Linked DNA regions of Caenorhabditis elegans. The protein of the gene in region 2 purifies or fractionates together with the protein of the main gene of each other region. This does not show direct contact. Each region holds a gene or a part of one and is shown on either strand. Other genes may lie near its edges.

What was found. The genes of interacting proteins can lie anywhere in the genome.
Region 1: the proteins of F13G3.6 (region 2) and gmap-2 fractionate together in Caenorhabditis elegans (co-fractionation; one large-scale study listed by BioGRID). This does not show direct contact.

What each region holds. Positions count from the first base shown.
Region 1 is NC_003284.9:12,938,845-12,946,738, forward strand, and holds gmap-2 (GM2 Activator Protein family member), read right to left. Parts: upstream 4,423-7,894; 5' UTR 4,416-4,422; coding exon 4,310-4,415; intron 4,260-4,309; coding exon 4,162-4,259; intron 4,059-4,161; coding exon 3,919-4,058; intron 3,696-3,918; exon of another isoform or gene 3,614-3,695; intron 3,464-3,613; coding exon 3,364-3,463; intron 3,310-3,363; coding exon 3,193-3,309; intron 3,147-3,192; coding exon 3,070-3,146; intron 2,895-3,069; coding exon 2,708-2,894; 3' UTR 2,598-2,707; downstream 1-2,597. Other genes in the region: gmap-3 (GM2 Activator Protein family member), read right to left, coding at 1-25, 82-213, 259-469, 524-639, 1,543-1,664, 1,708-1,867; nssp-88 (Neuropeptide-Like Protein), read right to left, coding at 6,772-6,927, 7,008-7,097, 7,395-7,496, 7,545-7,604, 7,656-7,718.
Region 2 is NC_003279.8:7,301,243-7,308,567, forward strand, and holds F13G3.6 (Glycosyltransferase 2-like domain-containing protein), read right to left. Parts: upstream 3,449-7,325; 5' UTR 3,446-3,448; coding exon 3,326-3,445; intron 3,276-3,325; coding exon 3,002-3,275; intron 2,955-3,001; coding exon 2,701-2,954; intron 2,629-2,700; coding exon 2,459-2,628; intron 2,408-2,458; coding exon 2,270-2,407; intron 2,221-2,269; coding exon 2,103-2,220; 3' UTR 2,058-2,102; downstream 1-2,057. Other genes in the region: Inositol monophosphatase ttx-7, read right to left, coding at 1-184, 665-785, 830-984, 1,093-1,197, 1,311-1,447, 1,650-1,727; F13G3.7 (SLC (SoLute Carrier) homolog), read left to right, coding at 3,900-3,914, 3,955-4,272, 4,320-4,542, 4,588-4,711, 4,761-4,860, 4,908-5,060, 5,107-5,178, 5,338-5,454; mrpl-13 (Ribosomal protein L13), read left to right, coding at 5,875-5,967, 6,502-6,666, 6,710-6,796, 7,004-7,276.

The DNA.
Region 1 (7,894 bases), on a different chromosome or scaffold from region 2:
AGACTTCAGCCGGAAGTTGAGTGTCCTGTAACATTTTTGAAATACTCTTTTAAAAAGAGAAAAATTCAGCTTGTGATTTACCTTGAAAAAACTGTACTTGGTTCTACGGTATACACCCTCGATTTTGATTTGAGTCGCCATTTGTTTGCTGACGTCAGAGTCAAACACGTAGACTGTAGCAAAGATCCCCATAGCACGAACAGAGTTTCCGTCCTGAAATTTCCAGCCAGTTTTTGCTTTTTTGACCTTTAGACTTACATCACCCTGAATCAGCTGCAAGAATGACTCCTTACTAAGCCCTTGTGAGCTGATGACATCATCAATGTCTGGAAGACAGAAAGCAAGCTTCAAGTTGTCATAGCTGCCTTTTTTCAATCCGTCAGCGCAGCTGATTGGTTGACCATCGAGGAGCAGCTGTGCTCGAACTCCTAATTTGTCACCGAATGTTTCACATGCATTGCAGTACAGGCTGAAAAAAAGATAAATCAATATTGTATGACAACATTAATTAATAGCAACAAACCAAGACCCAAATCCTCCACATCCGTTTTCAGGTTGTCGAACACATTTCTCTGGGACAGTATTTTTTTTGGCAGTGTTCTTCAGCTCAAGATAAATGGAGAAATCTCCGCCAAAGTCCTGAAATAGAGAGTTTCAATTTATTTTTTTATGTAGCTTTATTGTTCATTCAAAGTATATACTTAGAGAGTAATAAGAAGTTGTGATGAATTCTTTATTTCTCAGGGTAAGATAATTTTTAAACTTTTGATACGCTACACAAATACTGAAAAAAAACATTAAGTTTTGAATGATATTGATTTAAAATGTTGTCACGTTGTCACGTTGGCATAAAAAAATTCAATTTGCCCAATAATAATTCAGTAAGGTATAATTTAGTGATTTTTAAATTGTACAGACTACATTTAAAGATACAGATTGTGTTGATGTTCTTAAAAACACGGTCTTAAAGGCGGACTAACGGTTCGGACGATTTTGAACGTATAAATCCGAATTGGGCTGGAATGAATAAATTTTGAAAAAAAATACACTGATTTTCGCTAAAATCTCAATTTTCGGCCACTTTTCCGTGTCGCAGCGGTCCGAAGTTGTCTTTTTTGGAATTATCCTCCTGCATCTTTTGGTAATTTTTTATCATCACATTTCATTGATTTAAACCCGATAGGTAACCAAAAATCATCAAAATTGGTTACCTGTCGGCTTTAAATGTGCCTTAATCAATGAAATTGGATGAGATAAACTACCAAAATATGCAATAAAGGGCGATGATTCCAAAAAAGTCAACTACGTCCCCCGCTGCGACACGGAAAAGTTGCCAAAAATCGAGATTTTAGCTAAAATCAGTGTATTTTTTTTTCAAAATTTTGAACCGCCATAAAAAAATTTTGAAAAATTTATCAGAAGTTTCCTTACGAAACTCGTTTATTTGAGCTCATTTTGGGTTTGAACGTTCAAAATCATCCAAACCGTTAGTCCTCCTTCAAGACACGGAATATTAACAAAACAAAAAGCACAATATTTTACCTCTAGAACTTCTACTTGGCCTCCGATAGTAAAACAGTTTGGCTTATCGGCTTGTGGTTCAAGTTTCGGGCCTCTCCTATCATTTCCAGACTCGAATTCTAACTTCTTTGTCCATTTACCACCTGAAAACCAAATAAGCTTTGGTTTAAAATCTCGTAAACCTACTTTTGCATGGTTGATGTTTGATGAGTTCAAGAGTTACACTCAGATCTTTTCCCAACTCAACGTTTTCCAACGCGTTGGAAATGGAAACGAAAAGACACGATGAAGCTAAGAAAACGACCAACATCTGCGACTGAAACCGATGCGCAAATGAAGGTGTCATGGCTTATGAAGTAAGCGACGAGGACGTGCCCTTCTTTCACACCCCTTTTCAGCTGGATTTTAGAATAGTTTACAGTGACGGTGGGGGTGAAAGGGGAATATAGATATGAATTGTACAAATGTGTAATAAAAGTCTGACAGCCATCAAAACCACTTTTCTCGTTTTTTCTTTCTTTTTCGTGTTACTTTTACCTCAATGTGAAATGATTGTCGGATGGCGTTTCGAGGTCATGAAGGTTATGAGATTCTGAAAAGATGAAGAGATTAAAAGAAAAGGAAAGGGGAAAAAAGTAAAAAAAAAGGAAAATAATGAATCAAAAGCCTTATGTCCTTCAACTAGTAGTGAGAACAAATGCAATAAAGTTTTACAGATGTGTTACATAAATATCACTTTATGATCTCTAACCAACAACATATATAGTTCCAGTTTTCCTTACTATTAGTAACTTTGCAAGATTTTTCTGTAGAATTCGTGTACTGTTGTATACACAAGAATAAAAATTCTAGAAGTAAAGGGTATACAGAATACTTTGAACAAAATCCCAGAAACATTTTGAGGCTAGCAAAATATTGAGGTTGTATTGAATAAAATGCATATTGAAGAAATGTAAAAAAACATACTCAAAAGGATACCAGACAAAACTGTTGTTTTTTACACAACGAGTCTTTGAGCACAGTATCACCATAAAGATTGACTGTTATTTATTAAATGTCAAGATCAATTTGCTTATCTAATTCATAATTTTTATTGTGTTTATTTCATAATTCACAAAAAATGAACCCGCATAAACGAAATGAATAAACATGAAGTTATCATCGTTGTTCATCCAAATATATTTTCTTATTTCTTCTTGGCTTGAATGTCGCTCAAGCTAATGGTTCCGTAAAGTTTGTGACATCCAACGAAAACTGACTGCTTTTTGATAATTTGATTGAATGGCAGATTCCAATAAGTTTGAGAGTCAACTGGCTCATCAGCGCCAAGTTTGCGAAGTTCACGGATGCGAGATTCTAGTTTTCGTTGAGAGCTGAAATTATTTCATTTTTCTATTTGTTTAAAAATTTTCTACTCGTGAAAAATAGTGTTATTTTTCATATAGCTGTAATGTATGTGACATATATGTCTCGAATATAGTGAATGGTTGTTAGATGGTATATGAAACTGTAAATCTGGCTAAAACCTATTTAATTTTCAGAACTTACACTAGAAGAGGTTTAATATCCTTGTCGAACAAATAAACGGTCACAAATAGACTAAGCTTTGGTGGACCATTTCCTTCCTGAAACACACTTTTTCTTTCAATAATTATTTTCATTTTGTCAAACCTGAGTAGTAGCAGCTAAAATGTGATCTAACGCGTCTTCTGAAATTCCCTGCCATTCCAACAATGCAGCTAATTTCGGAAGGCAGAAACGGAGTTCAACATTATCATATTCTCCTTTCTAAAAATAGTGTTATTGACTGCATCGTAAATTTTTTTTAACGATGTTGCTCACTTTTAATGGCTCACATCCTGCTGGTTTGCCGTTCACAACAAGTTGAGCTCCGAGAATTTTCGTGAGAGAGTCCAAAGAATCACATGGCCGGCAGTAGAGACTGAAACAGCAGTGTTTACGTCATTTTTTGGAAACAACAAAACAACAAATTTTCAAGTTCGAAAATTTAAATTTCGTAATCATCGAAATACAACTAAATCTTGTTGTTTGAAGTTATAACATAACGACAAATTATGATAGCGTAGTACGTGGAGAGATGGCCGAGCGGTCTAAGGCGCTGGTTTAAGGCACCAGTCCCTTCGGGGGCGTGGGTTCGAATCCCACTCTCTTCAGTTCTTTTTTTTTAATTTATTTTGCAGGTTAAACACTTATGTATGAAATTGTTATAGTTATACTTTTTGTTTTAAGAGTGACCTCTAACTTAAAACTTTTAGGTACTTCACAGCTGTTCATCTATCATTAACTGCTCAAAAGGCTTTTTTTTCATTTCCTAATGTTTTTTCTAGCTCTAGAATCTTGATGATTTCCCTAATATTTCTGTCAATAACTCATTACCATGATCCAACACCTCCACAACCAGTGTCCGGATTGGCATCCCTGCACACTTCCGGTGGTCTTTGAGTGTCACCAGTGGTCGACACGGACAAGTAGATCAACAACTCGTCGCTCACATCCTCATGAATTTTCACTTTTCCCTAAAGAAAATGAATTATTATTATTATTGTAATAACGTCAATCATCAAGCATTGTTATTGTTTTTCAAAAATCAAAATAAAACACTCTTGGGGGCTAACTCACACTAATTGCATAGCACCCTTTCTGTTCAGTTGACTTGAGTAGCGCTCCACTATCCGAGTGGCCACCCTGGAACTCGATTTTGCGGTTCCAGTGAGAACCTGTAACACGTAAAGTATTAAAAAAGTGACAACGATAGTTTAATAATTACTTTTTCTCCATGCACAACTTTGATGTCTATGAAGGTTTAAGTTCAGATACTGAGTCGATGCAAATCCAAACAAAATTGCCAGTAATATCAGGCAGTTTGTAATCATGACAAATCTGTAAGATACCGTTTATGTAAAAATTTACAGAAAGTTACAAGAACAGTATAGAAAAAGTCACAGAAGTCACTGAATTCAAATAGTTCCATCATCGAAACATCTTCATATCTAATATTTGAATCAATCTTAGTTTAGCATTTAATGCAAATGCGGCAAGAAAGTAGCTGTGAAAAAGAAAAATCGTCAAATGGGGCAAAACGATACGAATGGAAGGAACCTGTTACGTAAGCTTAGAGATCTGTCTAAGCATGAAAAAAGAGAATCGGGTATGATATGCATTGTTGAAGGACCTAGACTTTCAATCAAAACGGGACTATGGCAGAGACCACAAGGAAAAATAAACTGAAATAAGGAAGCGAAATGTTCTACGATGACTGACCAGGAGAACATTGAAGATTCCAATGGTCTTTGATTTAGTGTTCACCTCGTCGTCGTCCGCCCTAATTTTTCAACTTGTCATAAAATTTGATTCCTCTGGAATTTCACAAAAGAAAACTAGTTACGAGAACAAGAACTAATGTGGAACTTTTAATGGTGTGTACTAGGTGTGTTTGAGAAGGGAAATATTTGTGACGCTTTACAAAATCAGTGTTCATGTGACTATCTTTTCAAATCGACTTCAAAATGTTGTTTGTAAGAATGGAGACCTAAATGAATGATGGAGTTTGTGGGCAAAAAATCTCAAAAACTACAGAAACAATGTCAGAAATAACGCAACAGTTATTTGTAATTTTATAATACTTCGGTTCTCAACTATAGAATATTTGGGAAACTTAGTGGAAAAATAATACCGCCGGCATATAGAATAACTCTTAAACTACTTTGGACGAATTAATGTTTTAACAGTGGTCGCAAGAGCATTCGAGCTAATGAAGTTTGGCAAACAAAGATTTTTTTGTGGACTACAAATTATGATAGGCATAATACCATTAAGCCCAATAGTGGCTGGGTGAACCTAGGGGGTGAGGCCGGACTTGAACTTATGACCTCCAGATTTCTAGCGGTCACCACTACCGACTGAGCTATCCGCCCCCCGAAATACAATTTTGTAAAGCAAAATTAAAAAATATATCTTTTCATTTTTTCACGTATCAATCATGTTTGCGCAATTTAAAAAATGAACTTTAATGAAAAAAAATCATAAACTTATATAATCTTGCAAAAACCCCTTGATAAGAAAAATGAGTCATTGAACGATTAAAACATAAATAAAAATTTCCACTAGCTTTAACCAAAAGTCCACACTTTTTCATCTTGCGAATACACAGTTTTCACACCCGTCTTTATAATCATTTTATACACTTTCTGTAATGCTGGCAATTCGCTTGAGTGCACTTGAATAGCAAAGGTTCACGCTTGGACAGAAAAGTGTGACGAAAGATATTGTGGAAGGGCAAATGAATGGTGGGCCGACACGCAGGGCAAAAAACGAATAATACTAAGAAATTGTGGAAGACGATAAAGACTGCGAATTGGTCGGAAACGAGAATTTGCCAAGAATCCCCTCATCTCCTTTCACCAACTAACCGCGGATAATAGATAATAGGTGTGAATCATTATTATTCGATCAGGAAACGATGCGCTATGCAAAGTGTTAGCTGGTCTGCTTGCGTTACATTCAGGTATACAATTTTTGCAGGAAATCACGCACATACACATCTGAATGTCACTTTATGTACAGTGTTTTAGACAAAACCAGTTTTAATACTGCGCTTGTGATAGTTGTACCAAATTCTGAATTTGTGAATGGCCAGGTATACATACTAGAGCTTAAAACTGGACTAAATTTTATTTGATCAAAACTGATTAGCAAAATTTTATTACAAATTAAAAGGTTTATTTCACGGTTCATTTAAAGGCGTAGAAATAAATTTGGGCACACATCAACCTACTGAACATGCATTTTAATCAATGGAATAATTGTGCACTAAAATAGTTTTATGACAAAATAACCTTGACAATATTTTAGAAAACTCCAAGATGTAACAAGTGTTAAGTTTAAGGAAGTCCAATGCAAAACCTTATATAAAGGATTAGGCACGTCTTGCAATTATAAAAAAGTATCCCACTGTTGAGCATCTCTTCTGACATTTCAAAAAAAAATTTAACAAAAAAAGGTGTAACCAGACTTGAATTTCCTTTATTAGTAACTGCTCGATTATAAATTTAAATAATCGGGACGTGGTTGAAACGCTTTAATTTTTTAAGCTATACTCGGTTGACAGAAAATAGACTGTTTGTATGATGGAAACTTTGTATCACAGCTCTAACAAAACAGCTTTATTTCACCAAAAGTACAAGGACTGGAGGAAAGAAAAATTGTATCAACTATCTCATTTCTGCACCTTCAACGCCCCCAAAGCCGGCTGCTGAGTTGAAGTTTTGGCCGGATTCCTGCTTTCGCCACCCGCTCCATTTTCAGATTGTCATCAGAAAACACTTCCTCATTTTCAGTCTCATGTTGATTCAACGACTGTCTTGAAGTCTTGGCCAATATTGTGGTCTGCAATCTGATTCGATGAAATCTTGGAAACAAGAATCATAAGTGAACAGGAAGGAGTGGATTCCAAGTAATTTGTTTACCGTTTCGAATTTATTCTCATCTTTGATCGTTTTCTCGGATGATTCCACCGGCCACATCACCATGAAATCTTCAGGAATCAGAGGGATGTCCTGAATTAAATTAAATTGAAATAAATGAAATGAGTCAGTGGTTTATTGAAAACACACTACATTTGATTGCACCTGCTAACTATAAGTTTTAAAATTATTTAGGGATGACAAATTTCCTCGTGATTCTATCTTTGCCAAAAATTAACAATTCCACCTGCATTAAACTCGTGGCCAAAACTTCAAAACATTAGGATTTCTCAAGTGTATCAATAGAATAGTGTTGTTCCAAAAAAAAAAACGCTTTATGTAAATTCAAAAAAAACACAGAAGTGAAGAAGTAAAATTTCCTTGACTCACCCTTTCAAAATTCCTCAGCCCTGAAGCATGTGCCCGTTTGCCCCAAAGAATACTGGACCTGCGGAGCTCCCCGTTTATAGCTCGTTTGTGCGTGATGAACCTCTGAATTTAGATTTTAAAATAAAAAATCTGACATCCATGAAAGCTTACATCAAAATGCGCCATGTCGTCACCACCCCCAATGCCTCCAAACTTCCTCATTTTCCAATCCTAAACATTTTGCGAATAATTCATAAGTTTGACTATTTTTGGTGTCCCTACCTGATTGGCCATGGTGACCCCAGCGAAGAAGAAAGCAATCAGAATAAAGAAGGTGTACTGCATGTCGTCCTGTGAAGTACAAGTATAATTCTCAGAGATTAATTTTTTTGGGAATGGAATTAAGAAAAAGTGTGAGCCGGGTGATTTTAACTGGCAGTTAATGAAACCGATTTTAGCGCAGGAGCAATTTGATTTTGTCTTCACCTGTTTTGTTAAAACAAGGGGCGGAGCTTTGAATG
Region 2 (7,325 bases):
AACTTTTCTTGACATGACGTCAAATGGGGATCCAGTTGGATCAGTGACAACACCTCCGGCTTCTGTGACAATGATAGAAGGAGCAGCAACATCCCAAGCGTGAATCCCGTATTCAACATATCCATCGCAACTTCCTTGTGCAACCATCACCATGTTGATCGCGGCGGAGCCAAACGAACGGTGTCTGAAAAAAAAACTTGGATTTTTTTCAAATAACTTTTATTATGTATAACAATATTAAAAATAATAATATCACATCATCCTCGTGATTTTTTTCATATTAAACTTTGTCCATCCAACATCTAACTTTTCCATCTTATCCATTTCTCAATTTTAGTAAAACTTTCAAAAAATTTGCAAACGCACAGTTCAAGAAAGTCACTAGATTTCGACAAGAATATAAAAAATATTTATAAGTACCCGTGACATTGTTTGTCGAACATAACAGTCTTGTAAGAATCAACAAATGATTTCTGCATAACAGGAGATCGAATTGAGCCAAGTTGAAGTATGAGCACACTTTCCGCAATGACTGGAATTTGCAACGTTTCTATGTGAATGTAAATAAAATTGAAAGTAAAACGTGCAAAACCAGCGCGGGAAGTGTGGAGGTATATTTTTTGTAAAAAAGTAATCAATTTTAGACCAAAAAATTAAAACAAACCCTCGCACACCAGCCATCACTTGATTTCGCATGTTTGACTGGGCAATGTCGAGCCAGCGATCGCCGAACTGAACACGATTATGCAGACCGAGAGATTGACAGAGAACTCCCTTTGAAAGCACTTCAAAAAGCAGGGTGCATGACAAGAAAAGTGCAATTACTTACATTGATTCTTTGATGCTCGGATTGGAAATCCATTTTTGAAAGCTCCCTTTCCGAGTTGAGCGAGATAAAGTTCATTAGTGATTGGATTGTATACGATTCCAGCACGAATTTGTTTTTTGATTGCAAGTCCAACGCAGATTGCGATCATAGGGATTCTATAATAACATAAGAATTTGTTTTTCGAGAAAAATTTGAGTCCAAATTAGAAATTAAATAACGCGATTTGCCATTATTTGAAGAGTCCGATTTAAAAAAAATCTTACCTATGAACAAAGTTAGTAGTTCCATCAATCGGATCAATAATCCATGTTGGTGCATCAGTCCATTCAATTTTCGCACCTCCGGCTACAGATTCCTCGCCAATGAATCTGAATCAAAATAGTAAATTTATGTAAATACTCGATTGAAAAAGAAAGTCCAACTGGTTGTCATGGAGACAATGAGTGAAATCGAGCGGACCGTGGGAATTCCTTGCTCTTACCTATGTCCTTTGAATCTCTCGGAGAGCCCTTCGATGAGAAGCTTTTCAACAGCTTGGTCAGTTTCAGTCACCAAATCAGTATTCGATGATTTTGTGTCAACCTTGCTTTCCGGGGAGTCAAACGCGGTACGGACGAGCTGAAAATGTTTTTTTCGAATATTGATGTTTTTTCAAATAATAAAATTTGTTTCGTAACTGAGGAATAGAGAATGTTGTTTTTCGAGTTACGCATTTGATTTAAATGTGCATATTTGTAAAATTAACAAAAATAAGACAAAGATAATAACGACGTTGTTGTTTTAGGAAACAGTTTGATTTTTTAATCCGAATTCAACTCACCGTTCCAGCTTTTTTAACCAACTCAATGGCGTAGTCGACGAAAACTTGCTCTTCCTCGTGGATTGGTTGGAACACCATCTAAAACTTAAAATCAATGAATAAAGAGCTGAAGGGAACCACTTTGCCGAAAAACAATAAAATAAATTAAAGAAGCTAAACGGAGAAGCCGTCTATTAGGAAAACTAACTCGCGCCAGAGTCGTTTTTCCAACGACGCGAGCAGACGGAGCGAGAAAATTAGAGATCACTCGGAGACACGAGACGCAGAGACACCTAGTAATCTCTTCCCATGTTCTGTTAGGAAAAATGATAACGACGAGGGAGAAAAATGACCAGACACAAAAATTTGCAACATCAAAGTACATTGGAGTCACTGAGAACCAATGAGACAACGCAAAATGCAAAATTTAAACGGATAAATTGTTTATTATATCAAGTATCGGATAGCAGTCTGTCAACCAAAGTAAACCAAGTCGACGTGCTCTTTCCAGCCTTTTCGTTCAATTATACGCTCCAAATCACCATTTGTCAAGTCCAATTTGACACAAACGACGAGCGGAGGCCTGGCATTTCTAAAACAAATAATACGTTTAGTAAGAAACTGAGAAAGTGAAGACATACTCAAGGTTAACAATTGGAACTTTGTGAGTCACACTGCGTGACACTTCATCAAACTCTTCATGAACACCTCTCCCGATTTTTGACTCATCAATATCGCAAAATTCTCTGACTTTGATCTTCTCGTCATCTGTGAGACTTCTAAAGAATGTAGTATATGTTGAAAGAATGTTTTCAAGCATAAACCATTACTTGAAAAGACGTTTTCCTTGCTTCCCAGCACTCCAGATTGTGAATTTGTCCCATTTTGCGATGTATTTCTCTTTTAATCTCGATAAACGGAAATTCCAAATTGTTTGTTCTTGAACGCTGTGTGATGCACAGTTTTTATGGTATCGGTACATGACAATGTCATCATCGACCTGAAATAACACACATTTTGAAATGAATTTTTTTCAAGCTAACTTTCCAGCTAAAATTGCCAATTTACTTACTTTATCAAAAATACACTCCGGGAAATCCAAGCACTTGTAGAAAAATTCTAAGTCTTCAGGAAAACCACACGAAACATCTGTTCGAAAACCGCCAACCTTATCGAAAAGTGCTCTACTAATGAACCAAGTAGGAGCAACGAGCGTGGGACCATGAGATGTGTAGACTTGACTTCTGATTTTGTCTCCGATCATCGAGTTCGCCCATTTTGTGTATCTTGTTGTGGAGCCTTCTGGTAGTCTATGAAACTGTCCACCTAACAAACAGTTAGGATCGTATTATACTTAACTTCAATTTATTCACCTACAAAAATTAAATCATCTCCAGACTTCGATAACTTCGTTGCCAACTCCAATTGGCTTTTGATTCTGTTCGGAGAGCTGACATCATCTGCATCATTGAAACAGAGATATCTTCCTTTCGAAGATCTTACAGCACAATCCTTAGCGGCACCAACTCCACCGGGTTGAGGAACGTGTGTAACAACGACATTCATTCCCATCTCTTCGAACTCGAGCCGCGCATTTTCCAGAATTCTAACAGTGTCATCTACACTCCCGTCGTCAGCCAAACAAATCTGAGATATTTTTATTAATTAGAAGAAACAAAACCATACGCATTTCTAACCTCAATTTTTGAATTTTCACAAGCTGTCTGGTCGAGTAGACCGTTGAGTGTTTCCCGCAAGAACTTTTCTACATTTTTGGCTGGAATTATGACAGAGACGTCATATTGATAGTTCATCATACCCTATAAACATTCAATTGAACAATAACCAACTATAAAACGAAAAAATTCATAAAAGCTGAAAGAGCGTTACCGAAAACGGAAAACAAAACATTAAAATGGAATTTTAAACTTTGAATAAAAATAAACAAGGCGCATTACGATGCTCCGTTCTTACGACGCTGTGTCTCTCTCAATAGCACACTCCCTCGCCGTAATGCGGTGCCTCTTTTTTGTTGGTGAACATTTTTAAACTACTCGTTCTTTGTTGATGTTTTTCTCTCCATCTGTCTATTTTTCTATAAAATTTTAAAAAATACGTATTTTCCTGTTTTAGTCAGATTATCAAAATATCCGCTTGAAGTTCCTTCGAAAAAACTCTCCAGGTGATGCTCAATTCTAAGCCGATTCTCACACTTTGCTCGTTTTTGCCTTGAAGACCAAACGATCGACTATTTGATTTTAAAATTAGAACATGCGGTTCGCAAAGGTATGCTCTATCCGATATTAAAAGTTCTAATGTTCATAAGATGTTACAGATGGTTTCGTCTGAAATGGACACCGCGATTGAGGCTCGGTCAATAGCAACATCCCCGCTAAACTCGAAAGTATCTCCACTGAGTCAAATACAGAAGGACAAGCTTTTAGTAATTCAATGGGAACATCTCAACTTGTACAAATTCTATCCAATGGCTCTGTGCAGTTCATGGACAATCAGGTGCATGCTGTATCCAATGTCTGTTGTGAAGAGCAGACTACAACTACAGAGACAAAATAATGTGTATAACGGAATGCGAGATGCATTTGTTAAAATCATTCGTCAAGAAGGAATCGGCGCTTTGTATAAAGTTAGTTTTAGTTACCGGATGTTTTATTGAAATTTAAAATATTTCAGGGATTCTGGATGACACTTCCCCAGCTGTCAGCTTCATTTTTATATTCATCAGCTTATGAAAGAGTCAGAGACTTGCTTCAAACCCATCTTCATATTACTAATCACTCTGTGGTATCTGCATTAGCCGGAGGAATCGCTTCTCCTTGTGCACAGCTAATATTTGTACCAACTGACATTGTGGCTCAACATATGATGGTTCATAATAATCCAGAAGCATTTGGAGGTAAATCGCTTTTTTGAAATGTTTGCTCTGAAGAATATAATTTAGGTGGAGAGAAGAATATACCAGTAGCAGATGCAATCAGAAAAGATGGTCTCGAAGGCAGAAGAACGTTAGGTTTGAGAGTTATCAGGGCCGTGTACAAAGTTGATGGAATTTTCGGTTTTTATAGGTATTTTTATATTTTACAGTTTCAATTATGACATATTTTAAAATTTCAGAGGATTCCTATCCGCAATCATGTTGTATATTCCTTCAACAATGGTTTTCTGGTCTACATATTACAATTCATTAGCAGTGTTCAGAATGATTCGTGAAAAAGTAGGTTAAAGTTATGCTAAACTGAATTAAGTCAATTATTAATTCAGGTCACTGAACTTGAATATGGAGTGAAACCAACATCTCCTTCCGAAGTTGATGATCGGAATTTGTTCCTGGACCAAGCTGTGAGCGGTTCTATTGGCGGAGTCGCTAGTGCAATGGTTACAAATCCATTGGAGATGCTGAGAATTCGGTTACAGGTAAGAATTTTAGTAATCTAATTCAATGAAATTAAAATATTTTCAGGTTCATCGAACAACGTACAGGGAAACGATTGTTAGACTATGGAAGTATGAGAAAGCACAAGTATTCACCAAGGTATGGTTTTGCCAAATCAAGATATACCAAATTTAGAAAATGAGCTCAGAAATCAACATGTTTACACCATTTTTTTGCTTCAAATAAGTATCCGTAAAATATGCTGAGCTCACGAAAAATATTAGTTAAATACATTTATATATGTTTTTAATATTTCAGGGTCTCGCACCGCGTATGGTGAATAATGCTCTCTATTCAAGTCTTGTAATGCTTGCCTATGAAAGTGTCAAACGGTTCTCAGTTCTGCCCGAGTTTAAAAACAAAATCGTCTGGTGATCGCACCTGCTCATTTTCGAATTTTTACTGCTCACACACGTGTATTCATACTTTCATCCAAAAAAATAATCTAAGATTTCTTATTTTGCAGCAATGCAACACCGCTTTCGTTTCTCCTAGAAGATTATTAGATGCTGTCCAAAATTGTAAATTTTGTGTGATCATATCACCCCAAATTCCTTCTTTCCGCTCTCTTCGAATTCTGTTCTATGAACTTTTCTTTTTTTTTTGTAATTGTTTCTTTAATATTCTTTTTTTTCTCACTATTCTGGTTCGGTCCCTTCTCATTTTCGAGTATAAATCCTTTGATGTTTGCTTTTTCTTTTTGATTTTTCCTTTTGAGGTAAATTTCCTCTAATATCTTTATTATATCATTTATTCGTTGAAATTACATTTTGAAAATCATTTACAAACAATCAGATGTCCTACCGGCGTGCCGTTTCTCGATTTGACCGTGTTAACCAATGGCTGCAGTTTTCGAGACAATGGCACGTGATTGATGCGAATCAACAAGTATGTATACCTTTAAGCCTCTTGTTTTGTTTTTTTGAATGTTTGAACGTAAACATGTCGACGATCAAATGGGAAAACATGTTGTTGACAAATGGAAGTGTTAAGTAATAATATAAGTGCAATCCTTTCTAATACACATAGTTATTCAAATAATACAAATTATTGCTCACTGATAAAAAATAATTCAACAATGACCAAACACAATAGTAAAGCTTTTCAAAAAATTCCTGAATTTATTTTATTAGCACGCAAATTGTAGTAATTACTCAGTTTTTTCCACTTATATTATAATGTCGTAAGTCCGCCAAAACCCAATTTGGCACGATTATTTTAAAGTTTAATTTTTTTAATCTTGAAAACTACAGAAAATCGCATTCTCTCTTCAATTTTTTCCTCTGAACAATCTGGAAAAAAAATCGAAAAAGTCCATTTTTGTAAAAAAAAATTACCAGAAAACAAAAATGTACATTCGAATAACAGAAAAACATAATAACAACATGAATATATTTATTTTTATTTCATATTTAATTCCAGGACGCCGAACTTCTTGGTGATAAAGTTGCTCGATATCTCGCAGGGAAACACAAACCAATTTTCCATCCAGAAACTGATTGTGGAGATCATGTAGTTGTTACAAACTGCAAAGATATTGCAATGCATGCATTTGACTGGAAACACACAATTTATAAGTTCAATATGGTGATTTTTGCTGCTTTTATAGAAATTATCAATTCTTTTGCAGGAATATCCAAAAAGTAAAGCTGATATTCCAGCATGGCAGATTCACGATTACGATCAATGCAGAATAGCTTTTTTATCGGTTTATAGGGTGAGTGTATTTTTATTTTGTAATTTATGTCATCCAATTTTTTTAAGTTTTGAAGTATTTTTGAAAAAAAAATAATCTAATGATTTATTCAACGTTAAAAATGTCTTTAAAATTTACCTGAAAATTAAACAAAACAATTTTTTGGCAATAACTAATATAAACTATTCGAACACCTGAAGTACGCGGTGGTTATATTCTTTTTTTCAGTCACTTGGAAATAATCTTCTCCGACGTCGTCACATCCAACGCCTACATTTATTCCCAGATGAAGAAATGGCAGAATTTGTACGAAAAAATATTGGAAGTCAGCTGCGACAAGTTCAAGGAGTTGTGAAACGAAGTGATGAATATACGGCAGAAGAGAGAGCAAACTTCCCAAGAGTTGTGAAATTCGCAGATAAGCATGTCGTTGATTGGGAGAAAAGCATTCCAAATCCGGGAAGACATGTGAAACCAGTGCCCGGACAAAAGGATAAATAGATGATCTCGAGTAGGATTTTGTAGAGTCTGTAGTCTAATTTTCCTTTTT